4 separate regions of the Mus musculus genome follow, and all the other regions are reported to be linked to region 4. Evidence: microRNA targets listed by miRTarBase, many of them from high-throughput screens and not tested one by one. Region 4 holds a microRNA gene; each other region holds the end of a gene's coding sequence.
The links. The annotated mature microRNA mmu-miR-3471 reads UGAGAUCCAACUGUAAGGCAUU and lies in region 4 at 2,018-2,039, opposite strand. An mRNA with a match to its seed (bases 2 to 7 or 8) in the 3' UTR can be bound and repressed. Matches are read on the target gene's strand: a 7mer-m8 pairs with bases 2 to 8, a 7mer-A1 pairs with bases 2 to 7 and ends in A, and an 8mer does both.

Region 1 (7,119 bases), not on the chromosome of region 4:
TAAGCTATCAGGCTTCCTGGCCCAGGAGAACATGGCTCTTGCCTGAGTCCAGCAAGCCTTTGTTCTTGTCTCTGTTGGCCTCTATATCACAAAGTAGATCACAGGATATGGGATGGAAAACCCATACAAGGTCTTCTAGTCAGTCCTCCTTGCCTACGGAAACCATTCTACTTCCGCACGTCTGAGTTTAAGCAGCAGTGTGGCTTCGGGGTGGGTGCTAGATGAAGAAGGGGTCAGCTTGGACTCCCCTTCTCTTGCTCAAGCTTGAAGACAGTTAGAGCTTTGTGATGGTCGAGTTTCCCATTGTGTACCCTGAGGGTGGCAGAAGCCTGTGGTAAGAGAGGGTGGAGCACAGGGGTCATGGCCTGCCTTGAGCCTGGCCTTGTGTAGCCCGTAGCTTGTGGCTTACAGGATGCTGGAGGTGCTGGGGAGGGGAGTGTTGGGGAAGGTGGGCCTCCACCCCTAACCCACACCAGCTCAATTCTTCCCCTCTTATCTTTATCCCCACCCAACCCCAGAGACCTTCATGAAATCTCCTGTGAGAGACTGTTAAGACTTCTCAAAGCCAATTTTTGCCTCTGCCTCAGGTCATACCATCCCAGAATTTTTCTGTCCATTTGTCCAGGGCTGAGACTAAGGAGTAGCCAGTGGGCCATTGGGGCAGGTTGTTCTCAGAGTCATGCAAGTGCTGGCCTTGAGTTGTCCATGAATGTCAGCTCAGGGCTGGGATACACGTGCTCACTGACAGCTACATGGTTGGGCGTGTGTTCTTTCTGTGACCGCTAAGCTTGTGTCACCTATTCTGGGTAGACTGAGCATTCCCAAGTACCTGATGGCCTTGGTGAGCTCACAGGGCACATGGGTGGGGAGCCGCAGGAGGGACAAGCTCTGGCTCACTCGCTTGGGATCCTGAAGACTTCAATATGGCATTTTACTTGGTTTCTTTCTTAGTCTCCTACATTAAGACTTAGGGACACCATCCATATGAACATGTTAACAGGGAAAAAAGCCAGTGGGTTCCTGCAGGCTGTAGCTTGGACTGATGAAAGGACACGGAGAAGTCTTTTTGCTAAGTGCCTGTGAGGAAGGTCATGTGCCCTAGGGCCCTGAAGGCTCTGCCTTGCCCATGTTGTACCACTGATCCATGCATTGGGAAACCTGGGCAGGAAGGTGACCCAAAGAAGTATATTTTAACTAGTATATTTAACTAGTATATTTTAACTAGTACCAAGATCCCCTAGGAGGAGGGCTCGGTCCCCCCACAAGGAACAGGCTGTCTCAAACCAAAACTGTCAGGCATGGTGCCATGCTCCTTTAGACAGCACTTGGAAGGTGGAGGATAGAGGGTAGAGGGTGGAGGACAGTAGATGGAGGATGGAGGATGGTGGATGGAGGATGGAGGATAGAGGATGGAGGATGGATGGAGGATGAAGGATGGAGGATGGTGGATGGAACCATCAGCAGTTCAATGACATTCAAGACAACATAGCAAGTTATCCAGGACTACAGGAGACCCAGTCTCAAAAGGACAACAAGCAAAACAACAACAAAAAACAAAAGCAAACACAGCAGCAACCTCCCTAAAACAACAACAAAACAACAGCCACCTCCCCAAACCAGAGGTGTCAGCATACGGCCATGCAGCCCCGATCTCGAGACCACGGGTCCCGATCTGAGTGCATAAACTGGTATGGGTGATTTCAGAAAGCAGTGACTCAAGTCCTGAAGAGTGTCATAGAGGAGCTGAGGAGGTTTCCCAAGAAAAAACAGAGGAAATCTCTTTGTCCTTTACCACCCAGAGAACCCAGGGCTGTGAACCCGGGGCTCTTTCTCTCTTTCTCTTTGACTAGGTGGTAGATTCGGAGCTGCTTCGCAGCCCACAAAAGCTGGGGAATCTCTTTCTGAAAACAAGCCGCCCACTTCCTATCGGCGCAGAGGGGCTGCTGTGGTTGGGGTTGAGTAAGGAGGAGAGAGAGGGCTGGTATCGGAGCCCCCTCTCCTCCTGCGGGTGGACCTGGGGGCAGCACACCTGCAGCTGCTCTTCTCTGAAGGAGGCCAAGGACAAAAGTGCTGTTTCTAGAACCTTCTACTTGGCATTGTCAATCTAGACCACCGCAGGGCAGAGAGGCAGACACTACCAATATTCCAGAACCCAGCTAACGGGGATTATGTCGTACATCCGTAACCATTTAGGATACAAGCAAAGGGCCTCCTGCGTTGTGGCCTCAGACATACTACAATATTTTTCATGCTACATTTGTGGAAGAATTACTTGTATTTTAGATATTGTAAAAGAAACTTTTTACGCACAGATCCACACAACCAGCTGCTCAAATACTAATTTTACTCATTTCTGCAATGTTCTTTGCTTGGGACTTTATTTTCATTTATTTTGAGATGAGGTCTCAAATTTATTGTGTAGCCAAAGATGACCTTAAACTTCTGATCCTCCTGCTTCTTCTATCTCTTGACTGCTGTGATCACAGGCAAGCACCACCACCCTGGGTTCGTGAGTTTTGTGCATGTCACTTAAGTAAGGGATTTACCATCTGAACCTCCCCACTTACACCCCCCCATTATGGTTTTCAAAGCAGAAATGGAAAGTCTCCAACATTGCTGCCAGGAACAACTGAAAGTAAATTCTTTTTTAAAGTTATTTTTATGTATATGGTCTTTTGTCTACATGAATGTCTGTGAACCACTTGCACACCTGGTGTTTGTGGAAGCCAGAAGAGGGCATTGGATCGCCTGGAACGCTATGGATTGATATGCTGGGAATTGAACCTGGGTCCTCCGGAAGAGCAGCCAGTGTTCTGAACCACTGAGCTATGTTCTTGAAGTAAATTCTTTCTTTTTCAACACAACATTCATATTGAGTCTTGCATCTTACACTGTCCTTCCCTTTCCTGACCCCACGCTTGTTACATCCCCCAGCAGACAGATGGACAGACAGGCAGGCAGGCAGGCAGACCCAAACAAAATAAAACAAAAGTCCAGTTTTTGTTGACTATATATTTACTCAGTGGGGCAGGGTCAGACCCTCAGTGGCTGCCCCCTAGTTGGAGCTGAATGCGTGTCCTCTGGAATCCCTGCTAGAAGACATCCACTGTGGAGGGGACACTCCAGCATCCTCATCTATCGCAGTTTTTAAGAGTTCTCTCTCGGAGTGAACACTTATAGGCCCCTTTATATGCATATATATCATATGCTTGCAGGCCTTGGTAGATTGCTAGGAAAAAATCCGATTTGTAGAACAATGGGCTGATATTTTCTTTTTCTTAAGTATTTTCTTACACACACACACACACGTGCACACACACACACACACACACACACACACACACTTTGAGACAAAGTCTCACATGTGGCCCTAATACATTTCTTAATAGCGGCATAAACTTACTTATAAAGCTGTACCACAATTTATCTACCTAGTTTCTCATCAATGCTACCTTTTTTTTTTTTTTTAACCATGCTGGATGTTGAACCCAGGGTTTTGAAGTTATTTTCTTGTTAAGCCTTTGAGTGTTTCCAATTTTACGCCACCAAGCCGAACCACAAGAATAATTCAATGTGTTTTTGTGTTTGGCAAGTAGCCTATTTAAAGTGAAGGCCAGGCCAGACATGATGTATATACTAAAGACCTTTATGCAGTAGTGACTGTATGCAGTAGTGACTGCTCAGTTCCCTCTTCTGTAAAGTAGTCAGGTGCCAAGTCTAGACCTCCTCACCACAGCCCCCGTCCCTTGGCAGCCAACTTTGATCCAGCTGTGCCATCTGAGCAGCTGCTGGCTTCATAGCACACAGCCAGTCCACTCCTGCCAGTCCAGCCCCCACGGAACTATAAGCAAGAAAATATAATTGCTGAGACAGAAGCAGGGAGATGCTCAAATTTCACAATCTGAGGTGGGACGAGCAACCCTGAGGTGAGGTGTGTTCTTCCTTCCTTCCGCTGTGGACAGGGTATGAGCCTTCAGGGGACAGAGGGTGCATTGCAGCCCAGGTTTCAGCCTTACCATTTACAGAGTGACTAGAGCAAGAGGCCATCTTGATCCTTTGCTATTTTCCCATCAGTCTTGAGATGTGGCCTGTCATTTGCAGAAAGCATTTGCTTCACTGGAGGACCTGCTGCAGCTACGCTGTCTGACTCCTATCCACCTCACCCAGTTCTGCCTCTGTTGCAGCTCAGATGCGGGAACAGGCTGTGATGCCCTTCCTCTGGAGGTATATTTCCTTCTGTGACTGTCAGAGACCTCAGAACACATCCCAGTTTTCCCTCACGCTTCTCTGATCTGACCTTGAAGAGCAGGCAGATGACCATGGCACATTGCTTCTGTGAATGCACAGGCCAGGTGTAATGGTTTTTGCCTTGCTGGTCATAGGCTGCTAGAGCCCAGTGAAGACAAATGGAGGGACATTTTAAAATGTAGGATTCTTCCTCTCCACTCTGACTCCAGCTCAGCAGTTGCAAATTTACGGACAACAACTGTGGTTTTACACTTTTGCTTTGGTACAAGGCTTTCTTCATTCAGGAGTCCTGAGGCTTAACCTTCGGGAACAAGGGCTGGAACAGGAATAGGGAGGGACATGTGGGGATGGGGTGATAGGTTCTTATGTCTCGAATCTGCAAAACCTGCGACCTACCAAAAGTTCCTCTCTGTGATTGTCAGCAGCATATGGTGTGTGCCTGGTCTTTCCCCCTTATCTTATTACAAAAGACAAAAACAAAAGACATTACCCCAATGAGGATGAAAGTTCTTTAAAACAGAGGAGAGGGGGAGGGGGAGGGGGAGGGGAGGGGGGAGGGGGAGGGGGAGAGGAAGAAGGAGAAGAAGAAGAAGAAGAAGAAGGAGGAGGAGGAGGAGGAGGAGGAGGAGGAGGAGGAGGAGGAGAAGAAGAAGAAGAAGAAGAAGAAGAAGAAGAAGAAGAAGAAGAAGAAGAAGAAGAAGAAGAAGAGGAAGAAGAGAAGAAGAAGAAGAAGAAGAAGAAGAAGAAGAAGAAGAAGAAGAAGAAGAAGAAGAAGAAGAAGAAGAAGAAGAAGAAGAAGAAGAAGAAGAAAAGAGGAGTTGGCCAGTGTCAGCTGGTAAGATGCCTCATCAGGTAAAGACACAAGTCTCATGACCTGAGTCTATGCCTGGAATCAAAGAGAAAGGAAAGAACCAACTTCTAGAAGTTGTTCTCTCTCTTTCACACACACACACACCACACATATTAATCTGCATGTGCATACAGATATTTTTTAAATTACCAAGTGTGGGGCTCACACCTTTAATCCCAGTGCCTGGGATCCAGAGGCAGGCAGATTTCTTTAAGTTTGAGGTTAGTCTTATTTATGTATTGAGTTTTAGGCAAGCCATAACTATCCCCTCCCCCCTAAAAGACAGACTTCAAGGTTCTCCAACGGCTAGAACAAACACCTGTTCTTTTCTATTGAAAGGGCTTCTAGTATCACTGTAGGTGAAAGCATTTGGAACTCTGTGTGTGTGTGTGTGTGTGTGTGTGTGTGCGCGCGCGCGCGCGCATGCTCATGTGCATCACAGCAGCATGGCCTGGCTTTGGGAGTCCTAGGTATTTCCTAATCTCTTCATCCACAATTCAAGTTATGGGCACAATGAATGTGGCCAAATGAGAGTTTTAGATGTAAGATGAAAACACACAAAATGAACTCACCCCTCCTTTCTCCCCACCCCCACCCCATGTGGTGACTGAACGCAGGACCTTGTGCATTTATTTAGGCTGGAGTCCTATATTCCCAGCCCTTGCCACTCCTAGCTTGTCTGAGGTCTTTAACATAGGACTTTATTTTGTTTTTTGTTTTTTGTTTTTGTTTTTTGTTTTTTTTTGTTTGTTTGTTTGTTTTGAGACAGGGTTTCTCTGTGTAGCCTTGGCTGTCCTGGAACTCACTCTGTAGACCAGGCTGGCCTCGAACTCAGAGATCCGCCTGCCTCTGCCTCCCGAGTGCTGGGATTAAAGGCATGCACCACCACGCCCGGCAGGACTTTATTTTTATAGCCAAAACATTTTCATTAAAAGGGCAGAGAGTGAGAGAAGAAATATATAAGCCACGAGAGAGAAGAAGTGAAGCTTAGAAACTTCCTACTAGGAGATGAAGTAGAAGTCTGTCTCCTGAGCCAACAGCCTCCCAAACCCACGGCAAGGCCTGAGAGAGTAAGATGGCTGCTGAGAGCCCTGAAACTGTTTGCAGAAAACTTTATTCATGAGGTGGCTTCTCTGTGTGAGGATTTGCAGTCTTCTCCAGGGTCCCGGCTAGCTCTTTTCCATGAAAGGCCAAAGAGTCAATAAGGCTGTCATACCAAGCAACTGACAAAGACAGTGGCTGGAAGGCCACTGTCCAAGGCCCAGTCCAAGAAGAGTACATGGTGGTGTGGGAGTTCTTGGTTCTTCAGCCACTCTGTGAGTGAGCTTGGGTTCTGGGGCCTTCCCTGTGAGACCCCAGACCACACACAGAGCTTGCAGCAGTTCAAAGCAGGCAGCTTGAGCAAGGGCAAGGGCCTCTCCAGTCTTGAATGCGCTGTCTCTCACTAGTTCAAATCTTGCTTTGATTGAGTTACAGTCCTTTTATTGCTAGCAGGCTATCAGTGTTGTGGGCGCTGATCATTTGTGAAACCTGGGAAACAACAGCAAATTGTAAGACTCTTATTTTCAGGCCAGTGACACTTTTGCTATATTTCTTATAGCAAAAGCAATGACAGATGGAGGAAGAGGAGGGCATGCCTGGGGCTGAGAGCTCTGTTAGGATGGTTTTTGTAAGGCCCACTTCTAGCATTTTAAACCTTAAAGTTTAAAAAAACCAAACCAAACCAACAACAAAGAAAACCAAACTACAACAAAATAACATATAGAGACACACAGATGTATACACACACACACACACACACACACACACACACACACACACACACTAGGGCTCAAAACTACTATCTTTGGGACCAGTAGGATGTCTCAGTGAGTAGAGGTGCTTTTACTTCCAAGTATGATCTGAGCTCAATACCCAGTACTAGTTATTCTGCCCTACCACAATGCATGTGTATACACAAAATAAAGAAATGTTTAAAAAAGAAAAAAAAATGCTAAAACCTCCTAGTTTTGAGTGACATT
Region 2 (7,119 bases), not on the chromosome of region 4:
CAAAACAGGTTGGAGAGGAAAGGGTTTATTTGAGCTTACAACTCCCTGATCACACTGTTCTATATCAATAAGGGAAGTCAGGCAGGAACTCAAGCAGGGCAGGAACCTGGAGGTGGGAACTGGAGCAGAGGCCATGGAGAAGCACTGCTTACAGGTTCACTTCTCATGGTTTTCTCTGCTTGCTTTGTTATAGCACCCAGGACCATCAACCAAGGGTGGTACCACTCAGAATGGGCTGGGCCCTCCCACGTCAGTCATTAAGCAAGAAAATGCACTCCAGACATCTGATGGAGGCATTTTCTCAGGTGTGATTTCCTCTTCCAAAATGACTCTAGCTTAATGTTAGGTTGATATAAAATCAGCCAGCACAGCAGACAGAGAAAGATCTGGCCTGAATTTAGGTAGTGGGGGAACTGGGCCGTGAAGGAGAAGAACAGAGAAGAGTGGGCACGCAGATTTGAGAGGACCCAGAGATGGACCGAAAGGCAAGGAGATGGAGAAGCTGTAAGATGTCTGAGGCTTGTGTTTTTATTTTTAAAAGATCTTGTTCTTTGTTTTGTTTGTTTTTCGAGACAGGGTTTCTCTGTGTAGCCCTGGCTGTCCTGGAACTCACTTTGTAGACCAGGCTGGCCTCAAACTCAGAAATCCACCTGCCTCTGCCTCCCGAGTGCTGGATGAAAGGCGTGCGCCACCATGCCCCACTGAGATTTTGTTCTTATTGTTGCTTTGTTCTGTTTTTGTTTTGTTTTTCGAAATCACACAGATCCACTTGCCTCTGCCTCCCGAGTGCTGGGACTAAAGGCATGTGCCACCTCCACCAGGCAAAAGTTTTTTTGTTTTTTATTTTTTGTTTTTGTTTTTTTGTTTGTTTTTCGAGACAGGGTTTCTCTGTGTAGCCCTGGCTGTCCTGGAACTCACTCTGTAGACCAGGCTGGCCTGGAACTCAGAAATCCACCTGCCTCTGCCTCCTGAGTGCTGGGATTAAAGGCGTGCACCACCACCGCCCTGCTTTTTTGTTTTTGTTTTTTTAAGATTTATTTATTTTATGTATGTGAGTACACTGTGGCTTTCTTCTGAGACACCACAAGAGGGCAACAGATCCCATTACAGATGGTTGTGAGCCACCGTGTGGTTGCTGGGAATTGAACCCAGGACCTCTGGAAGAGCAGTCAGTGCTCTTAACCACTGGGCTACCTCTCCTGACCTGAGTTCTGCCTCATTCCCCTGCTTGGTGTCATTTATTCAGGTGGGGATGTATGGAAAGCCATTCTGAGGTGGTACCACAGTCAGTGGCTTGTCCCTCTCTCATGCTGAGTTTTGATTTACAATGTGGCAGCACTAAGGTGATGAGGCCTGATGGGAAGTCCTTGAGTTGTGTGCATTGACTGAGACAACTTGTTTGTCAGTGTTGAGGATCAAGTGTTTGGCTGTTATCCCTGGATTGCCCAAGACTGGCATCTGCATCTGCATCTCCAGTCACAGGTCCCGGCTGAGAATGAAGGTCCATCTGTTCATCATATGGTGCTGCTGAGAGAATCCCAGACAACTGCCAGGGCATCCACAGAGAGCCCTGACACTCCTACCATTCTGGGGAAATAGACAGAACTAACTTTTCTGTTGTTATCACCGAATACCACAGCCTGAGTGATGAGGGTAAGTACATTAGGACTGTACTTACCCTGGGAGGTGGTGGTACGGGCCTTTAATCCCAGCAGAAGCAGGTGGATCTCAAGATCAGCCTGGTTTACAGAACTAGTTCTAGGACAGCCAGGGGACACACACACACAAAACCCTGTCTTAAAAAAAAAAAAGTCCAGGGGCTGGAGAGATGGCTCAGCAGGTAAGAGCACTGACTGCTCTTCCGAAGGTCCTGAGTTCAAATTCCAGCAACCACATGGTGGCTCACAACCATCCGTAGTGAGATCTGACTCCCTCTTCTGGAGTGTCTGGAGACGTGTACTTACATATAATAGTAAATAAATAAATCTTTTTTTAAAAATCCAAAAACATCATCCCTGCCATCATCCCTGCCACCTACATTTATGAGTATGAAAGCCCCCAATAAATGTGTAGCAGGTCACCCTGTCCTGAGAAGACCTACATCTGACATACTGCCACCACCCTGTTCTCCAGCCAAGATCATAAAAGGCAGATCAAGCTGTGGAGGTCAGTACGTAGCGGCCGGGCTCAGCCATCATCTCATTTGTAAGGAAGACCATGATTGTTTCTCCCATCTCCTGTTGTGGTTTTTTTTTGTGTGTGTGTGTGTGTTTTGAAAAAGGGTCTGGCGAGATGGCTCAGTGGTTAAGAGCGCCGACTGCTCTTCTGAAGGTCCTGAGTTCAAATCCCTGTTGTGGTGGCTCACAACCATCCGTAACGAAATCTGATGCTCTCTTCTGGAGTATCTGAGGACAGCTGCAGTGTACTTACATATAATAAATAAATAAATCTTTTTTTTTTTTTTTTTTTTTTTTTTTTTGGTTTTTTGAGACAGGGTTTCTCTGTGTAGTCCTGGCTGTCCTGGAACTCACTCTGTAGACCAGGCTGGCCTCGAACTCAGAAATTCGCCTGCCTCTGCCTCCCGAGTGCTGGGATTAAAGGCGTGCGCCACCACCGCCCGGCGTTTTTTTTCTTTTTTTAAAGATTTATTTATTATATGTAAGTACACTGTAGCTGTCTTCAGACACTCCAGAAGAGGGCATCAGATCTTGTTACAGATGGTTGTGAGCCACCATGTGGTTGCTGGGATTTGAACTCCATACCTTCGGAAGAGCAGTCGGGTGCTCTTACCCACTGAGCCATCTCACCAGCCCCAAATAAATAAATCTTAAAAAAAAAGAAAGTGGATGAGTAAAACCAAATGAATGTGACTTCTTAGGGTGGGCCTGAGGTTAAATACCTTAAAAAGAGAGAGAGAGAGTCTCAGGTACCAGAGTCTGGACTGGAACTCACTGTGCAGTCTAACATGACCTTGAACTCCTGATTCTTCTGCTTTCACGTCCTAGTTCTGGGATCCCAGGGCTGTGCTCCCCCACACCTGGTGGAGAAGTGGGGTCTGTGTTCTCCCCACTTAAGCCTGATGTCTGTATGACAACCTTCTGCTGTGCCTCTGTGTGACAGTGCGGTTCCCTTGCTGTTCTCCTTGTCCCTGCAGCCAGCTGGTGGGCATAAGGAGACCCAGGCGCCAGGAGTCCACCAGTGGCTGCTCTAGCCAACATCTCTAGTCAGTCCCGTGACGCCTATGACAGACCCTCAGAACAACCCAGCTTGACTCCTGAGACCTCCAGAGGAGGCCCTCTATGTGGGAGGCAGGGAATAGGGTGTCTTCATTGTGCTTTGACTGAATTCTTGACCCACAACTGCAAGAAGAGATGGCAAGGATCATAGTTTCTTCTTGTTTTGGTTTTAGTTTGGTTTTGTTTCTTCAAGACAGGGATTCTGGGCTGGAGAGAGGGCTCAGCAGTTAAGAACACTGACTGCTCTTCTGAAGGTCCTGAGTTCAAATCCCAGCAACCACATGGTGACTCAAAACCATTCATAATAAGATCTGACGCTCTCCTCTGGTGTGTCTGAAGACAGCTACAGTGTATTTACATATAATAATAAATAAATCTTAAAAAAGAACACATTTAAAAAAAAAAAAAAGAAAACACAAGACAGGGATTCTTTGCATAACCCTGGCTGCCCTGGAACTTGTTCTGTAGGCCAGCTTAGTCTCAAACTCACAGAGATATGCCTGCCTCTGCCTTCTGAGTACCGGGATTAAAGGTGTGCGCCATCACCACCTGATAATTAATAAAGGTTGTTGTTAATGGAAACGAAGGAGAAAATAGTGACTTAAATAAACTGTATTTTACTCCTTTGCATTGAAGTCTGGAAGTAGGCAACCAGGAGTGCTTTGGCAACCCCACTGAGGCAGTAGAGACCCAGGATCTTTTATCTTGATATTACTATTCTCTGCACATGGTTGCAATTTTCAAAGTTACCTCCAGATCCAAGATAACTGCTAGAGTTCCAGCTATCACATGTACATTCCAACATGAATACCGGATGAAGCAAAAGAAAACAAAAAACAATGGCTTTCTCCAACATTGTTTTTATCTTAAAAGACATCATTAGAAATCCCTTCTCAGGTTGGAGATATGGCTCAGTGGTTAAGAGCACTAACTGCTCTTCCAGTTGTCCTGAGTTCAATTTCCAGCAATCACATGGTGGCTCACAACCATTTTTAATGAGATCTGATGCCCTCTTCTGGTGTATCTGCATACAGCTTCAGTGTACTCAAAATATACATAAAATAAATAATACTTTAAAAAAATCCCTTCTCACTCCTTCTGACTATGTCTTAGAATTATGTCACACTATCCATGCAAGGGAGTGTAGAATGTTGCCTTTGGCTGGGGTCACTGCCATCTAGGATACAGTTGGATTTATACATTGAGGAAGAAAGAAGGTTCTGTGAGCACTTGGTAGCTATAGTATCAGAGGAGAAGGAAGGGCAGAGACCTCCCCCAGGAAGATTTCTTGGTATTTTGGGTACTGTAGGTTTTCTACTTCAGTTGTTTATTATATGGAGTCTCAGGTCTCCCAGGCTAATCTTGAACTCCAGACCTAGCTAAGGATGACCTTGAAATTCCAACCTCCTGCCTCTATCTTCTGAACACTGGGATGATAGACTCACATCACCACACTTGCTACTCATGTTATTGGAGCTGGAACCCTGGGCCACTTGCACGCTAGACAAGCACTCTACCCACTGAGCTAGACTTCCCTGCAGGCAGCTGGACGTTGTCTTCATGTAAAGCCTCAGCTTTCTTCTTTTTCAACTATTCACCATGGCTCCAGCTCCAACACAGACTCTGGTGTTTGTCCTAGAGCCATGGGTCTTGGCTTCTGTTTCCCCATGCTACTCAAAGCTCGGGAACTAATTATACTCCTGCTTCCCCGCAGCCTAGCACTCGTGTATAGTAGACATCGTGAGCAAACTCTGCATACAACATTGACACCTCACTCAGAAGAGTGAGGCCCTTCCTGTATTCTCTTTCTTTAGATTCCATTTTGGCTTGCCCATGTTTCAGCTTTCTTTCCCTCAACTTGCCCCAGACTGCTCAGTGGCCACAAATGGAACTGTATTTGGGTTACAAGCCATACCTTTCTCCCCACAGTGGGAAGCAGACATCACCCCTTAGTCCTCTGCATGCCCAGCAGGTTTGCAATTGCCACCAGGTTGGAAGAGGAGTCACCTGGGACAATGCATACTATGTAATCAAGTTCTGATACTGGGGTTGAGTGTAGTCAGCTACTCAGGCCATCTCAAAGCTGGGTCTCAGAGGCCCTGGGGGAGGCAGAAAGGCTCCCACCCTGTGTGTCTGAATACTAGACGCTACCTCTGGGTCTCCTCCCTGAGCCCACCATTACACCTGACTCTGTACTCAGTGGCCTTGGACCCATCACCCAGGAACACACGTGTGAAACCTCTCCCGTTTCATAACTTTATTTAATTTTCTCTGTCTCTTCCCTCCCCCGCCAGCCCCTGAGAGGGGGTGGAATCCCCAGTTGGAAGGGAAGGGACTAGTCTGTTCTCCCTAGGGAGGGATGGTGTCCCCTGGACAGGCTCCATGAATGGGAGAAGCAGGGGCCTTCAAGGCAACCAGGGCATCGTCCAAGAGGCTGTGGCCAAGGCAGAGCCCCTCGGATGCCCTGTAGTCCTGCATCCTGTGGATCACGCAGAAGGTGAAGAGCAGAGAAGCCCGGAGGGATGGTGGAGACAAGGTGCTGCGTGGCTGACAGAGGCAGATATGAATTTTAGGATGCTGGGGCTCAGAGTTGGAAAACCTGGGTCACAAGGAAAGCTGGATGTAATGAGGGTGCAGCAGGAACCAGGGAGACCAAGGTGGGGGCAGAGAGCAAGTCTGTGCTCTGAGAGCTGGGCGCTGTGGAGGGACTAACCACACCTTAGGGTCTAGGGATAATCAGGGCACTTGCCCGGAGCAGAGGCCAGAGGGCAGACAAAAAGAATGGAGCAGAGGAAGATGGAAACTCTGGTGGGCAGGGGACCAAGCTATGGGGTAGCCACAGCCAGCTGTTCAGCTTCAGGACAGCAATCCCAGCTGGCCATGGTCCCAGGCCACCAGTTTGTGCTTCTATGTTGCTGGAGGGCCCCACATGTAGCTCAGCGTGGCAGAGAGGCAGGCGGCCGTGCTCAGGTCTCTTCCCCATCCCAGTCTTTCTGGAAGCTTCTCTCCCTGCCCAGCATCATCTGCTATCACAGGGGAACATGGCGATGGTTGGGGGAGCCATGCTGGGGACAGATCACAGACTCAACTTAGATGGCATTTACTTCCTCCTCAGAGGACCATGTGTCACCGCATTTCAGTCTAAGGATCCCACTCCACTCCCACCCCTTGTGCGTGGCTGGTCTGTTTTCTTTCCTGTTTCCGACAGTTAATCAGACATCCAAGCCCGTGGTGAGATGGTGAGAAGAGAGGGGTGTTCTGGGACTGTAGGAGCGGGTACCTCAGAGTGCACCCTGCCCATCTCCCCGGCAGCCGCTGTCTCCGTGGACAATGAGCACCGGGAAGTAAAGGGCGTCCTCATAGCACGGAGGGCTTTCCAGAGGCTCCGTGTCCTCCCCTCTGCGTCCCAAGGGACCTCCACTTAAGCTTCGGAAGACCCCTGGGGTGGTTCGGCCCCCAGCACCTAGCGAGAGGCGGCTGCGACTGAAGGGTAGGCGAGGCCCGCTGGGGCGGGCAGGAGGCAGGGAGTTGCTGCTGACCGAGCGGCGGCAGCGTTGGCAGCCTCGCAGGTAGGCCCCAGAGCTGGCACCCATAACCACAGCCTCCGAGTAGCTGGGCACCAGCTGCCGGTTGGAGCAGATGTGCCACTCAAGCTCTGTGAAGTCCACGGTGGCCACGCGAGAGAGTGGTGGTCCGCTGGGCACAGCCCCTGGGGGCGGTGAGCTGGCACCGAAAAGCTTCTCCACTTGGTAGTGCACATGGGCTGTCCCATAGGCTGCCACCACTCGCAGTGGCCAGGACAGCGTGGCTGCAGACACCAGCCAGAAGACCCAGGCTCGGGCATACCAGGGTGGGCTGCGGGGGTCTGCAAAGACCATGAGGG
Region 3 (7,119 bases), not on the chromosome of region 4:
TCATGCCTTCTTTTTGTGTAATAACACTGAGTCCAGTTAGCGCTGCCTGTTGGAATCTTGATTGCTCTTGCTGACTTGATTGTATGTGAATAATCATATGTACAATGAGCTCATAAACCACGAGCAGTGGCCATTCCGTCTCCAGAGGACAGCATTTCGTAGTCTTCCCTGTTCTCTGCTTCTCCTTTCTGCCCCTCTTCCTTAAGTTCCCTCAGCCTTGGTGACAGGGGTGGATGTGGATGTCTCGTGTGGGGCTGAACGCTCAATAGACACTTATTCTCAGCGCTCTGACTGGTTTTGTCTCTGTATTAACTGCTGCGCACTCCAGACAGAAGCTTCTCTGGCTAAGGTTGAGGGCAGCGCTAATCTATGTGTATAAGCAATAATCATTTAGAAGGCAGCTTGACAATACGTTCTTTAGCAAAACAACAGTAATGAGTTCCTCGCTGGGCCCATAACCTCCTGAGCCATTACTTTTGATCAGGATTATGGTACCAAGTCTTAATTCTTTTCTGTGGAGTAGGCCTGAAATCCAATCAAAAAACAGTTGTTAACCCCATAACCTTTCCTGCTACTATTGCAGCCACAGGCATATTTTGCCTAGAAGGGTGGTTTTGTAGTATGCAGGGTTGGTGTAGGGACACCTCAACTTTCTTTCTAATGAAGCCAAGCAGTTTCTCTTTCCATTCCTCTCCAGTCTGTAGTTTAGTCCTGCCATTGTCTCATTTGATAAGAACAAAGAAAAGTTACAGAACTCTCACAAAACTGTCTTTAGGGTGGGCATCCCTTATTAGAAGGTATAGTTTTACAGTGTTTCACTTAACAATGGTCAATATTACCGTCTTCACTTGATACTGTATCTCCTACTTTGAGTTCATAGGCTGTTGTAGTTCCCAACAATTATCTTTTAAGTATTTAAAGACATAAATGTTAGTGCAGCTGGTGTTTGCACAGTATCTCCATGGGGTGGACAGTATCTCCATGGGGTGGACAGTATCTCCATGGGGTGGACAGTATCTCCATGGGGTGGACAGTATCTCCATGGGGTGGACAGTATCTCCATGGGGTGGACAGTATCTCCATGGGGTGGACTGGCTCCCATAATTCATCTCCACCTGTTCTTCCCCTCTCCCCATCCTATGTCTCCCCCAAAGGAGCCTGAGGTCCGCCCAGGAGCAAATCATCTTGGCGCCATCACCAGCCAAGGTTGACATGGCAATGACTCAGCTTACCCAGGACAATGCAGACTTCGCCACCCGAGATCGTTACCACCACTCCTCCTTCCTGAGCCGGGAGCAGTTGATGCCTCCCTACTAGGACCTCGCTGGACCCCACCTTTCTAGAAGCCGCTGTGGAGATGGGGGACCCAAGCCTCAGAACCTTTGGAAGTTGCTTCTACCAATAAGAAAACCCAAGACTGGTCTTCCCACCACAGCCTTGGACGCTGGAAATCACATTCCGGTCTGAAATGGCATGTCTAGCCAGATACTAGGTATGACTATGGCTTCCACGTGTGCCCAACCTGAAGAGTCCACAGGCACCAGGATGATCAGGTGACACCAAGACAACCAAATGTGGAGAATCAAAACGAGATTTCTTATTCTAAGGGGCCAAAATAAACACTTCTTTTTAATTTTATTGTTTTATTTTTTATTATTTTTAAAGAATTATATATATATACATATACTGTAGCTATTTTCAGACAGAAAATAGCATCACCAGAAGAGGGCATCGGATCCCATTACAGATGGTTGTGAGCCACCATGTGGTTGCTGGGAATTGAACTCAGGATCTCTGGAAGAACAGTCAGTGCTCCTAACTGCTGAGCCATCTCTCCAGCACCCTCCCCTGTTTTATTTATTTTGTAATGTATACTAACTACACTCACATGGTTCCCAAGCCACAGAGTATAGAAACCCCCTTCTCCCTGTTTCTCATCTGTTTGGTGTCCGTCCCCCATCACAGGGGCAACCACTTCTCATGCAAACATCAGCCACCTCTTTACAGACCCCTCCCATCTGCAAATGCAGCTCTGTTTACAATGCACTACATCCCGCTCTTCTCCCTTAATCTGCCATAGAAGCATTTCCATGAAGATGCTTACACAGTTTCCTCCTTATGTCTCTATGTCTGAATGTGCCTTAATTTATATACTCAGCCTCACGAGGACGGCATTTAGCTTCATTCTGATATTTTGCTATTACAGCCGCTTCTGCAAAGAGTCACTGTGTTTGTGTGCACAGTCGTGAAGGATACCTGAAGATAAATTCTCAGAAGGAGAATTACAGGGTGACTGGGGATGTACATTTGTAAGCTGTTACTGTTTGGAGAAATGCTTTTTAATTAAAAAGTCAATCAAATACCATGACCAGGCTTGATAGTCACCTGAAATCCCAGGACTTGAGAGATGGAGACAGGAGGACCAAAAGTTTGAAGCCAGTCTGGGCTACACAGTAAGACTCCACCTGTATCATGGGGAAGGGGGAGAAATTGCTATGAATTGCCTAACAGTGTTTCAAAAATATGCGCAGTCTGACTCCCTGACACCTTTGCAGCTGTTTTGCACCATGGATTGCCCGAGACGACAGGACTGTTGGTTCTTCTGTGATCTAGACTTGGCACTTATTGCAAGCATCCAGCAGTGGGGGCCAGGCCTCCTAATAAGCTCAGCCCCTAACCCAGGCTCCAGTTCCACTGCTGAGCGTGGAGGGATGGACTGCTGGCTCACCTTAGACTCTTCCATACGTTCTCCTGAGATGCTGTGCTCTCTCCTGCCGCACATGTTCAAAGTGACCCATCCAAGTTTTAGAAGAGTCATGGGATCTACATCTTTAACAATGCCATACACAAGTCAGTGCTGGGTATGCTGTGGACACATTTTATAAAACATCCATGTGTTGGATAGACAGTTTAGAGGAGGGGAGGGCTGGGAAGGGCATAAGGGGTCAGCTAGGTCTTGTAACCTTCTCTTCTGGAAAACAAGCTCTCACTCGTGATGGCAGGAAACAACCTAGCTCTGCTTAAGGAATAAGCGTCTGAGCACTTTTAGATACATACCTTTAAAGGATGCAGACTTTGGGTCTAAAGCAACACCACAAAAGGAGTCACCATTTCTGACCACTTGAGTTCTAGCCCCAGAAGCCACATGGTAGAAGGAGAGAATCAACTCCTACAAGTTGTCCTCTGACCTCCACAGTTGTGCTGTGACTTTTCAACACATAAACACACACACACACACACACACACACACACACACACACACACACAAACCTTTTAGAAGAAAATATCATAAAAACACAGTCTGAGGGGCTGGAGAAGTAGCTTAGTGGTTAAGAACACTCACTACTCTTGCGGAGGACCCAGGTTCAGTTTCCAACGCTCACATCAGACGGTTCACAACCCCCTGGAACTCTAGTTCCAGAGGATCCAATACCCTTTATCCTCCATGGACATTTGCATGCATATAGTGCACATAGCCTCATTCAGGCGCGCACACGTATACACACACACACACACACACACACACACACACGCACATAAAATTTTGTAAATATTTTTTAAAGGACACAGTTTGGAGAGATAGCTCAGTGGTCAGGAACACTTCTTTCTCTTCCAGAATACCCAGGTTCAATTCTCAGTACCTATGTGGTATCCTACAACTGACTGTAACTCCATTTCTACAGGATCAGAGATTCTCTACTGGCCTCTATAGGCACCAGAGAATGTAATATATAGCCATACATATAGGCAAAACATCAACACACATAAAATAAAATAAAATAAAATAAAATAAAATAAAATAAAATAAAGCAGAAGAAGACAGACTGAGCTGGTCATGGCTTACTAACAGGTTGAAGTAGGAAGATGGTGAAATAAAGCCAACTATTCATGAAGGGCTCAGGGTGACGATCCCTGAGGACCTCTTTTGGTTTGCTTTTGTTGACAGAGTTTCTTTTCTTTTCTTTCCTTAAGGATTTATTTATTTATTTATTTATGTAATGTATATGAGTACACTGTAGCTATACTGATGGTTGTGAGCCATCATGTGGTTGCTGGGAATTTTGATTCAGGACCTCTTCTCACTCCAGCCCTGCTCACTCCAGCCCTGCTCACTCCAGCCAGAGATTTATTTATTATTATATGTAAGTACACTGTAGCTGCCTTCAGACACACCAGAAGAGGGCATCAGATCTCATTATGGATAGTTGTGAGCCACCATGTGGTTGCTGGGATTTGAACTCAGGACCTTCGGAAGAGCAGTCAGTGCTCTTAACTGCTGAGCCATCTCTCCAGCCCTGTTGGCAGGGTTTCAGTGTGGTTCAGGCTAGCCTGGAACTCACTATATAGACCAAGCTAGCCTTAAACTAGCCCTCTGTCCTCAACCTCCAGATCAGAAGCCCCTTTTAAAGAGGAACCTGCATTCAAAAATTTTCCTATGGCTTCTGTAATTAATCACACAGATCAGATGTCTTTAAAACAGCAGAAATATATTTTTTTCATAGCTCTGGAGTACAGAAGTCTCGAATCCGTCTTACTGAGTCAAAAACGAAGGTCAAGCATCAAAGCTGAATCCAAGAATCCACAATCTTTGGGGGAGTTTGTTTTGTGCCTCCTCTAGCTTTGGTTGCTGCCAGCCACCTGGATTTGTGACCACATCTCTGCAGTTCAAAGCCAACACTGCAGGCTACAGCTGCCTTCTGGGAACATGTGAAGTCCATCTTCTACTCTGTTTTCTGAGGCATGCGATAATACAGAAGCCCAAGATAATCCAGAGCAGTGGTTCTCGCCTTTTTGCACAACGCAGAGAAGACTTTGACTGCATCTGCTTTTGCTGTTTTGAATGCTGCACACCAGGCTAAAAGAGCAACCTCTTTGAAGGAGGTAGTGAGCCGGGCTAGCCACAGAGCTTAAGTAGGATGATACCAAGGCCAAAAATAATGCACAGAAGATTCAAGAAGAGCATTGTCCAGTATGATTCATCTTACAGAGAAGAATAAGAGAGGACTGGCTCATGACAAAAATCAGAAACTGTACTCAGTGTCAGGGATTCCAAACAAAATGAGCAGCTCAGTGTTGGGGGGGGGGGGGCAGATGCTAAACAGGTTGATGTTCACAAGCTACCACTTCAGTAAGGGGAGGCAGGAAAGAGAGCGAGCAAGAGGACCAAGGCAAGGAGGAAGGATTTGAAGCTACACAGGAGCACGTGCCTCCTCGTGAAGAGACTGCAGAACACCTCTCTCAAGACCCTCTTCCAGAGGGGGGAGGAGTCAAGAGTTATCTCCTGGTTCCTGGTTCCCCAAACTAAAGGGGGAGCCTAGGAGGACATTAGCCACCTCCACCTCACTTGTAATGTGCATGCATGGGAGTGCCTAGTAGTTCTGCATGGAGTCAGCCTAACTGGAGTCCACCTGGAAGGGGTCATCACAGCTGAGATGCAACGAGTAGCCTGACTATGCACAGGTGGTACACATGGAACCTGAGGTGGCACATTAGCCAGTGTTATATAAAACCCGCATACTGCAGGTCACTACGATGAGTAAGCATGCTTGGCTCATTCAGACAAGGGTTAGGCATGTATTAGTCAGGATTCCCTGGAGGAACAGTACTGATGAAATACATAAGTCTTAACCACAGACTAGATGCCTTTAAAACAACAGAAATATATTTTTTTTCTTGGTTCTGGAGAACAGAAGTATAGAAATGATATTTCATTAGTACCTTACAGGCTGTGGTCCGGCTAGTCCAGCATTAACTATCTCCTGATAAAAGGGCCAAGAATCACATAGTTGTTTCATCCACGAGCCTGGACATCTAAGCTGCTTTTTTGTCTTCATTGGAGTCTCAAAGAAATAGGTTCTAATACCAGTGAAGGAATGCCTCAGCAACAGGATGGATGAACAGCAAGATAGATGAAAGTGAGGGCAAGCAGGCCTCACTGAACAGAGGTCATTTTCTCAGGTATCTCTGAAAATCGTGCTCATCTGCCCTCTAATTTACATAGCCAGATGCATCATACATAAATAATTTAAGTTGGTATTGAGTCTAAGGTTCAGGATTCAAGGAGTCTCTTCAGATTTCTGACTCAGTGTTTAAAGATGGGGCACAACCAGGCAGTGGTAGTGCACACCTTTAATTGAAGCGCTCAGAGTCAGAGGCAGAAGTATTCTTGAGTTCAAGGGAAGCCTGGTCTACACAGATAGTCCTGGGTCAGCCAGGGCTATCCAGAGGAACTCACAACCCCCCACCAAATAAAGATAGGATAAAGGGTGCCAGTTTACATATTCAATATTATTATTTATTTGCATATAAGTGTCTGCATGTATTCAAGGAGGACAGAGATATCAAAGTATCAACCATGAGCTGCATGATATAGGTGCTGGGACTTGAACTCAGGTCCTTACAAGAGTGGTATGGCTCTCGTATCCGCTGAGCCATCTCTCCAGCCTCAGTTTATATATTAGTTCTCTGAAAGGGCACAAAACTTCTGTCAACAACAGTGGTGGATAAATGCCACTGGTATCAGCAGTTTGAGTCAAGGCTCCAGTGTCTAACATTTTTTTCCCTCTCTAGTCTAAGAAGCTATAACCCCAAAGTTCCTTCAATAAGGAACTAGAACCAAGGCCCAGCCTGCCTTGTCAGCAGTATCATATGAAAAAGAGAGGCGGCAACTTCACATTTCTTACCTTTCAAATGGGGGTTCTGCCCACTCATGAACACGGCCCAACTTCTGACTAATCAGATAGGCTCCTGTCTTAAAACATTAAACCCATGAATGATCCAGGTTCAGGGGAAACCTAGCTTTAGATGAGGGTATAGCTCTTTCCTCTTGCCATGTCACAGTGCAGGAAGTAGAGGGTGGCCTGGTGGCGAGTTATCTATTGCTAAGACAAGATATCTAAGAGGAAGCCAAAAAGCTAGCCTAGACCTCTAAAGAGGCAAGGGCCAGTTATTTGAGGTCCTCAGGGTCCTATTGTCTGCTGTGTATCAACTGAAGCAATAGCTTGTACAAGTGAGTTGGGAAGATTATTTGTTCATTCATTCATTCATTCATTCATTCATTTTTGAGACAGGATCTCATGTAGCCCAGACTGGCCTCACACTCATTATCTCATTATGTAG
Region 4 (7,119 bases):
GCCTGTAGGCAACCTTGATTTTGTGAATTGAAGTAGGAAAACCTGCCCACTGTGAGCAGTGCCATTCCCTGACCAGAACCCTGCACTGCATACACAGAGAAGGGAACTGAGTAGAGGCAGGCATTTGTTCCTCTCCTAACTGCTTCAAACTCCTGCCACTGTGACTTCACCACTACACAGATGCCAAATAAATAGTTTTCCCTAAAATTCTTGAGTATTTCATCACAACAACAGGAAATGAAACAAGGACACATGGGCCTTTATTATTATTATTATTATTATTAGATATTTTCTTTATTTACATTTCAAATGCTATCCCGAAAGTTCCCTATACCCTCCCCCCACCCTGCTCCCCTACCCACCCACTCCCCCTTTTTGGCCCTGGGGTTCCCCTGTACTGGGGCATATAAAGTTTGCAATACCAAGGGGCCTCTCTTCCCAATGATGGCCAACTAGGACATCTTCTCCCACATATGCAGCTAGAGACATGAGCTCTGGGGGTTCTGGTTAGTTCATATTGTTGTTCCACCTATCGGGTTGCAGACCCCTTCAGCTCCTTGGGTACTTTCTCTAGCTCCTCCATTGGGAGCCCTGTGTTCCATCCTATAGATGACTGTGAGCATCCATTTCTGTATTTTCTGGGCCTTTTTTTTTTAATCTTTACTGATATTTGGTGTGTTCTTTCAGCAGCCTTGTTCTCTATTGCTGATATTCTTTTCTGCTTGGCCGAGTCTACTCATGATGCAGCCCGCTGTCTTTTACCTTATTCACTGAGTTTTCATTCCCAATATTTCTGCTTGTTTTCTTTTTAACAGATCTCAATTTCTTTCCATCTTCCTGACTTTTTCACATACTTTTGAAGATTTCCTCCTCTACAGTATGAATTGGATTATATCCTCTTTCAGACCGTTGATCTCTCTTAACAGAGAGGGAAAAAAACATCTTGAAATCTTTCTGTGGCATTTTACACACTTCATTGTCCTTTGGAAGAGTCTCATGCTTTGCGTTAGAGGGTTGTCATTTATTTTTTTGTTTTTGTTTTGCTTTGTTTCATGCATTTCTGTGTTTCAACTTCCACACCTGTTGGTTTGGCTCTCTCCTCTGGATTTGGAGAAAGATCTACTTTTGAAGCCTCAATCCACAGTACTGCACCACATGGCAGAAACAACCCATTTTAGCAACAACAACAGCATCCATGATTTAAAAATACACTTGAAATCCATTACAGTCCTGCAAGAGCAGTGCCCTCACCTGACTAAAATCCCACAAAAATGACCAAAACTATTGTAGAATGTGCTATGCAGGTAGCAATTAGTGAGGGCAAAGGTAGAAATGGCAGACAAGTAAGGAAGGGGGGGGGGGGGAGTCAAGCAGGAGAAACAAAGCTAAGGAGACAAAGGAGAAAGAAATGCATGGAGAGAAGAGAGCAATGGAAAAGAAATAAGCAGAAAAGGAGAGACTGCACAAAGTGAAAAGAAAAGCAAAGGGATGGGAGACATACTTGCAAAATATGTGACACGAAGTGACCTCCAAAATATACCAGCAACTCTTAAAATTTCAGGGATGCTATTGAAACTAACAGAAGTTATGGACCAAATGGATTTAACAGATATGTATTGAACATTTCATCTTAAAACAAAAGGATATACCTTCTTCTCAGCACCTCATGGTACCTTCTCCAAAACTGACCATGAAATCGGTCACAAAAAGGCCTCAACAAGAAGACTGAAATAATCCCATGTGTCCTACCTGATCACCATGGACTAAGGCTGGTCTTCAACAGGAACAAAAACAACAGAAAGTCCACATATACATGTAAGCTGAACTACTCAATGATAACTTGGTCAAGGAAGAAAGAAAGAAATTAAAGATTTTAGAATTTAATTTAAGGTACAACATACCAAAACTTATGGGACACAATGAAAGCAGTGGTAAAAGGAAAACTCATAGCTCTAAATACCTCCAAAAAGAAACTGGACAGAGCATACACTAGCAGCATAACAGCACTAATTGAGGAAATGCCTTACAGTTGGATCTCATGGAGGCTCAACTGAAGCTCCTTTCTCTGTGATAACTCCAGCTGTGTCAAGTTGACACAAAATTAGCCAGGACAATATTCCAAACAGATTTTTAAAACGCGGTTGAGTGCATATTACTCTTAGTTACAGAAGATACCATGTATATTTAAGGGGCATTTAACTATTATTAATTATTTTTGATGACTTAAAGAAGGTGTCAATACTGAGTTGTATGTTTTAAAATAAATTCTATTAGTTTAATAAAAAAAGAAAAAATATCAGGGGCGCTTTTCTGGCCACTGGCCACTCTTAAATTTTCAAGTTCTGTTGGTAAGGCATTTGCTGTGCAAACACAGGAGTTAAGCCTGGCGTCGCAGACCTCATGTCAAAAGTCAGGCACAGCAGCTGGCTCCTGTAACCCAGTTCTGAGAAGGCAGAGATGGGAGGATTCCTGGAGCTTCCTGGCTAGCTACTGTAGCCAGTCCAATGAGCTCCCAGCTCAGTGGAAGATTCCGTCCCAAATATAAGGTGGAGAGCAGCTGAGAAAGGCATCAACATTAAGCTCTGGCCTTCACACACACTCACACGACCAGGCACCCACAAAAACGTGTATACACAAAAACAAAGTACCGTAAGGGCCTGCCTAGATTGGCCTGAGGGGCTTGTGTAGACATTTCTCAGAGAACATACTTATAACGCCGGGAATAAGTTTATATTGCGGAAAGAATTCACCGCGCATCATTCTCCTCTTGGTGATCCTTGGCGTAGCCGTTACAAGCTGACCACATCCTCAGGGTTCCAGGTCCTGGCAAACAACTCCTGAAAGCAGGTTCCTGACAGCTATGGTAGAAAGATCAGCCTCACAAATCTACAATAACAAAGGGCAATTCCCCATCACAGAAGCCCTGCCAGGCGCTGTACACGGATGCAGCGCTCCTGGCACCTGCAAGCATGGTATCTTCAGGACAAACGGGCCAAGAGGGATCCGCCTCTCCTGTTCCAGAGAGATGCAGAAGGAGGTAAGCAGAACTATAAAAGGTAACCCCTAACAGTGACCAGGGGAGAAAATATCCCAAACACAAAGACCCACTAGCCACCTGGAAGCTGAAATTAGTATCAGTGAGAGCTGGAATGGCGAGCGTGTCTTGTGGCACAATCAAATATGGGTAAAGGTCAGAGAAGGAACCTGAGCAGACATAAGTGGGATAGTCCAGGAAGCAAGAAAGTACACTTTTAAAAATCACCGCTTTGGTTTTAAAATGGCTGAAATCTGAGCATACTTTGTAGAGGAAAAGGACTGGGAAAGTCACAGACAAATTCTCTGCCTACTAAAAGATTCTTTGAACTCCAACAAGGATGGCACTGGCACTTTCTCCTTCCCCAGGTGGTGCTGGCCTGAATGTGGCTTTCTGAGGAAAGGGCAGTGCTGTGAAGACAGACTGGCTGCTTCCCACTGCACTAGAAAAACTTCCCAAAACTCCACAGGACTCTTTAAATGATAGACCACACTGAACTTGCCAAAGAGAAAGGTCCCACCCAGATGGGAGCTGGAGAGTAGGTCTCCATTTTACTTACACTGTGTCAAACACTGATGGATGCCGTACAACGATGAGGAATTGGAAGGGGGCGGGGATCCTGACACACCCCATGTACGCAACATATGGAACAAGTTACTGAAGAGAGTGGTCCTAGCAGGGTTTGTTAAAGCTGAGTCGGGGTATAACTCAGGGAAGATTGTGGGTGTGGTGGAAAAAATAGCAAAGTGGGATTAAGATAAAACAAAGCAGAAGAGAAATATTGGGCCTGGTAAACTTTCACCTTCCCTAAAGTGATTGATGTACTTATAAAGAGCCAGACTGGGCTTCATTTCTAGGGGTGACGCTGCTCGTGATCCCACATAAATCTATCATTCCTGCAGGAGTCCTGGGCAAAGTTGTTGTCATGGATAGAGACAATGCTGACATTCACACTGGTGAGATTCGGTATTTAGGTGGGGCAAACCACTGCTAACACTTACAGGCGAGCACGTGACTCTCATAGAAGGAAAGGGAGGGAACAGAAAGGATAGAAGAGGGAAAGAGGGGGAGACACAAGGGGAAAATGGCTCACTTTCTGCAATGCTCTAGTCTTGTATATTTGGTTTAGAGAATAACCACTCTGCTTGATTATGGCTTATTAGTATCAGAAGTCAAAGGACAGTTAACTATGACTGAAAGCCCCGTGAGAACTAAGCAAGATCAAACCTGTGCATTTTAGCCATTCGGATTTGAAAGGGTTGAACAGCACAAAGATGGAAACAGCCTGCCAAGCCCATGCTGGCATATCTACTGGTCCTGGGAAAGGCAGGAACTTCCAGGAGATAAAACATAAAAACATATATGACAAGACTTTCCCTGGGGGATTGCAGATCATGTCTATTCACCCCAGAGAGGGGGCCTATGACAGACCAAAGTCCAATTTGGAGACTGCAATCTTTATTGGGATTAATCACAATACAAGGGAGGGGTTACTTACAAAAGCAGTAATGACTCAAAGGCAGCAAAGCCCATGCCAGCACAAGTGACAGCTCACAAAGCTGGGAACCTGAAACACACTGCACAGCCTGCAAGCCACTCAACAGCAGCTCAACAGGCTGGGGAGTGTCCTCTCCAAGTGACCAGTCAGTTAGGCAGGCCTCTGCTTCTTCCAGACAGCTTGTGCGGTCTCCAAATCTTCTTTGCAGGATGGCTTAGAATTCTGCTACCTCAGCCTCCCAAGTGCTGAAAGTACAGGCATGTGCCACAACTTTTGGTTAAAATACATTTCAGGGCCGTTCTCCTGTATAGGAGGCAGCCATGGCGCCCAGCCGGAATGGCATGATACTGAAGCCCCACTTCCACAAGGATTGGCAGCAGCGAGTGGACACTTGGTTCAACCAGCCGGCGCGCAAGATCCGCAGGCGCAAGGCCCGGCAGGCGAAAGCGCGTCGCATCGCCCCTCGCCCCGCGTCCGGCCCCATCAGGCCCATCGTGAGGTGCCCTACAGTGAGATACCACACCAAGGTCCGGGCTGGCAGGGGCTTCAGCCTGGAGGAGCTCAGGGTGGCTGGCATCCACAAGAAAGTGGCTCGCACCATCGGCATCTCTGTGGACCCGAGGAGGCGAAACAAGTCCACGGAGTCACTGCAGGCCAACGTGCAGCGCCTGAAGGAGTACCGCTCCAAGCTCATCCTGTTCCCCAGGAAGCCTTCTGCTCCGAAGAAGGGAGACAGTTCTGCTGAAGAACTTAAGCTGGCCACCCAGCTGACAGGACCTGTGATGCCCATCCGGAATGTGTACAAAAAGGAAAAGGCCAGAGTTATCACAGAAGAAGAGAAGAACTTTAAGGCTTTTGCCAGTCTCCGAATGGCCCGTGCCAATGCCCGACTCTTTGGCATCCGAGCAAAAAGGGCGAAGGAAGCTGCAGAGCAAGATGTTGAAAAGAAAAAATAATTCTGTGTTGGAGAGTTGCAATAAATTTTCCATAAAGCAAAAAAAAAAAAAAAAATACATTTCAGGCATGATTTAAAGAGAAAAAATTGGACCAAGAGATGGCTCCTTCAGTAGAAGTGCTCGCCACAGAAGCCTGACAACCTAAGCTCAACTCCAGCATCCCAGTGAAAGAAAAGAATCAACTCCTGAAAGTTGTCCTCTGACCTACATGAACACACACACATGCAAGCATGCATATGCATGCACTAATAATAATAATTTAATTTTGTCAATAGTTATTAGCAAAGTACCAAAATAAATAAATAATATGCGAGAGATCTTGGAACTTAGACACTGACTGATGGCTTTCATTAAGGGCCTTTTGTCCCTACACTGTAGAAGAAAGAGAATACGAAAGAATAAAACGAGGAGACCTGAAGATGATGCTGTTTCCTTTCTTGTCTTGGACTGGAACTACCTCTAAAGTGGGCAACAGACCTGTAATTAGAACTCTCCACCCTGCCACCACCCAATAGTGACATCTTAGGTAGTTGCCATCCTTTGTAAATTAGCACCATGATGTACTCCGAGTGAACACTATTGGATGTCCCCAGTATCTGTTCCCCTTGCTTCTTCCCTAAGTCCCAACTTTTTTCATTCATTGGCACACACCCCAGATGACCTAGTGAAAACTACTCCATTCTCTGCTCCATGAGTAGATCCTGTCTGCTTAGGCCAACAGCCATATTCCCACTCTTCCATGCCGGTGACAGGCCCAGGAAGCACCAAGCTGCTGTGGGTTATGCTCCATGGCAGGGATAAAATACTTAACGAGGAGAGGCCTTTTCTTCCACACGAGTGAGAGATTTTTCTTATTGTAAGCTAGTTATAAATAATGAGGTGGGCTGCCCAAGTTGCTTCTGACATGAGGGAGTGTGAGCTTGGATAGAGTTGATACCATTGATGCCGGAGTGGAAAGAATTACCCACAGGCCCCGCAACCTGCTCATTAACAGTCCTGAGACTCCCACACGTCTGGAATTAAAGCTGAGACGATTGTAACTTACTCTTTTGTTTAAGACTGTGGATCAGGCTTTCTAGTGCTTGCACCTGGCTAAATAACCACGCAGTAAGGGTGAGGTTAGGATTAAACTATATATTCTATTGGAAAACATGCTATAAACTATAGACAAACCAAATGCATAGTTTAACTAATTACATAGAAGGGATTTTTAGTAACCATCCTCAAGTGTTGTAAGTCTCACCTCCTCTGTGTTGAGATAACCTTGTCCTCTCTCCTGACTTCTGAGCAGAGATATGTATTCATATAACACTTGGTGCATTATCTACACATAATAAATACAAAATAATTTATTAACTAACAAGTTGCCACCAAATGTTCTTACAGCTTTGGAATCTTCATGTGAAACTGATCACACACAATAATTGTTTAACTATTACGTTATCCATTTCTATAATCCTGAGTGTCTGTCTTATGGTTGAAGTCTCATTAAACTGCCGCTGCCCTGTTTAAGTTGAAGTGCTTAATATGTGGTCCCTAAAGGCACTCTTGGGGAAGAACCAGCACCCGGCTTCTCCATACATCATCATCTTGATTTATTTTGTTCAAAGGACAGAGTTCAACATCCAGAA

Region 1: the mRNA of Cd8b1 is a reported target of mmu-miR-3471. Seed matches in the 3' UTR shown: 7mer-m8 at 5,933-5,939.
Region 2: the mRNA of Tmem151a is a reported target of mmu-miR-3471. Seed matches in the 3' UTR shown: 7mer-A1 at 4,233-4,239.
Region 3: miRTarBase lists Slc12a8 as a target of mmu-miR-3471. Seed matches in the 3' UTR shown: 7mer-m8 at 1,789-1,795.

Annotation. Positions count from the first base shown.
Region 1 is chr6:71,336,219-71,343,337 of GRCm38, reverse strand. Cd8b1 (CD8 antigen, beta chain 1) reads right to left here. Exons shown (of 6, transcript NM_009858.3): 6 at 5,846-6,628. The coding sequence ends at 6,616. Among named protein-coding and RNA genes, the nearest start is that of Cd8b1, 17 kb to the right of the region's middle. RefSeq lists enhancers at 208-704, 905-5,290, 5,285-5,569, 5,285-7,119.
Region 2 is chr19:5,075,253-5,082,371 of GRCm38, forward strand. It overlaps Tmem151a (transmembrane protein 151A), which reads right to left. Exons shown (of 2, transcript NM_001001885.2): 2 at 4,081-7,119. The coding sequence ends at 6,518. Among named protein-coding and RNA genes, the nearest start is that of Tmem151a, 6.7 kb to the right of the region's middle.
Region 3 is chr16:33,661,771-33,668,889 of GRCm38, forward strand. It overlaps Slc12a8 (solute carrier family 12 (potassium/chloride transporters), member 8), which reads left to right. Exons shown (of 13, transcript NM_134251.3): 13 at 1,155-2,368. The coding sequence ends at 1,317. Among named protein-coding and RNA genes, the nearest start is that of Heg1, 19 kb to the right of the region's middle.
Region 4 is chr4:10,843,568-10,850,686 of GRCm38, forward strand. Mir3471-1 (microRNA 3471-1) reads right to left here and starts at 2,063; the gene lies at 1,933-2,063. It also overlaps the pseudogene Gm12918.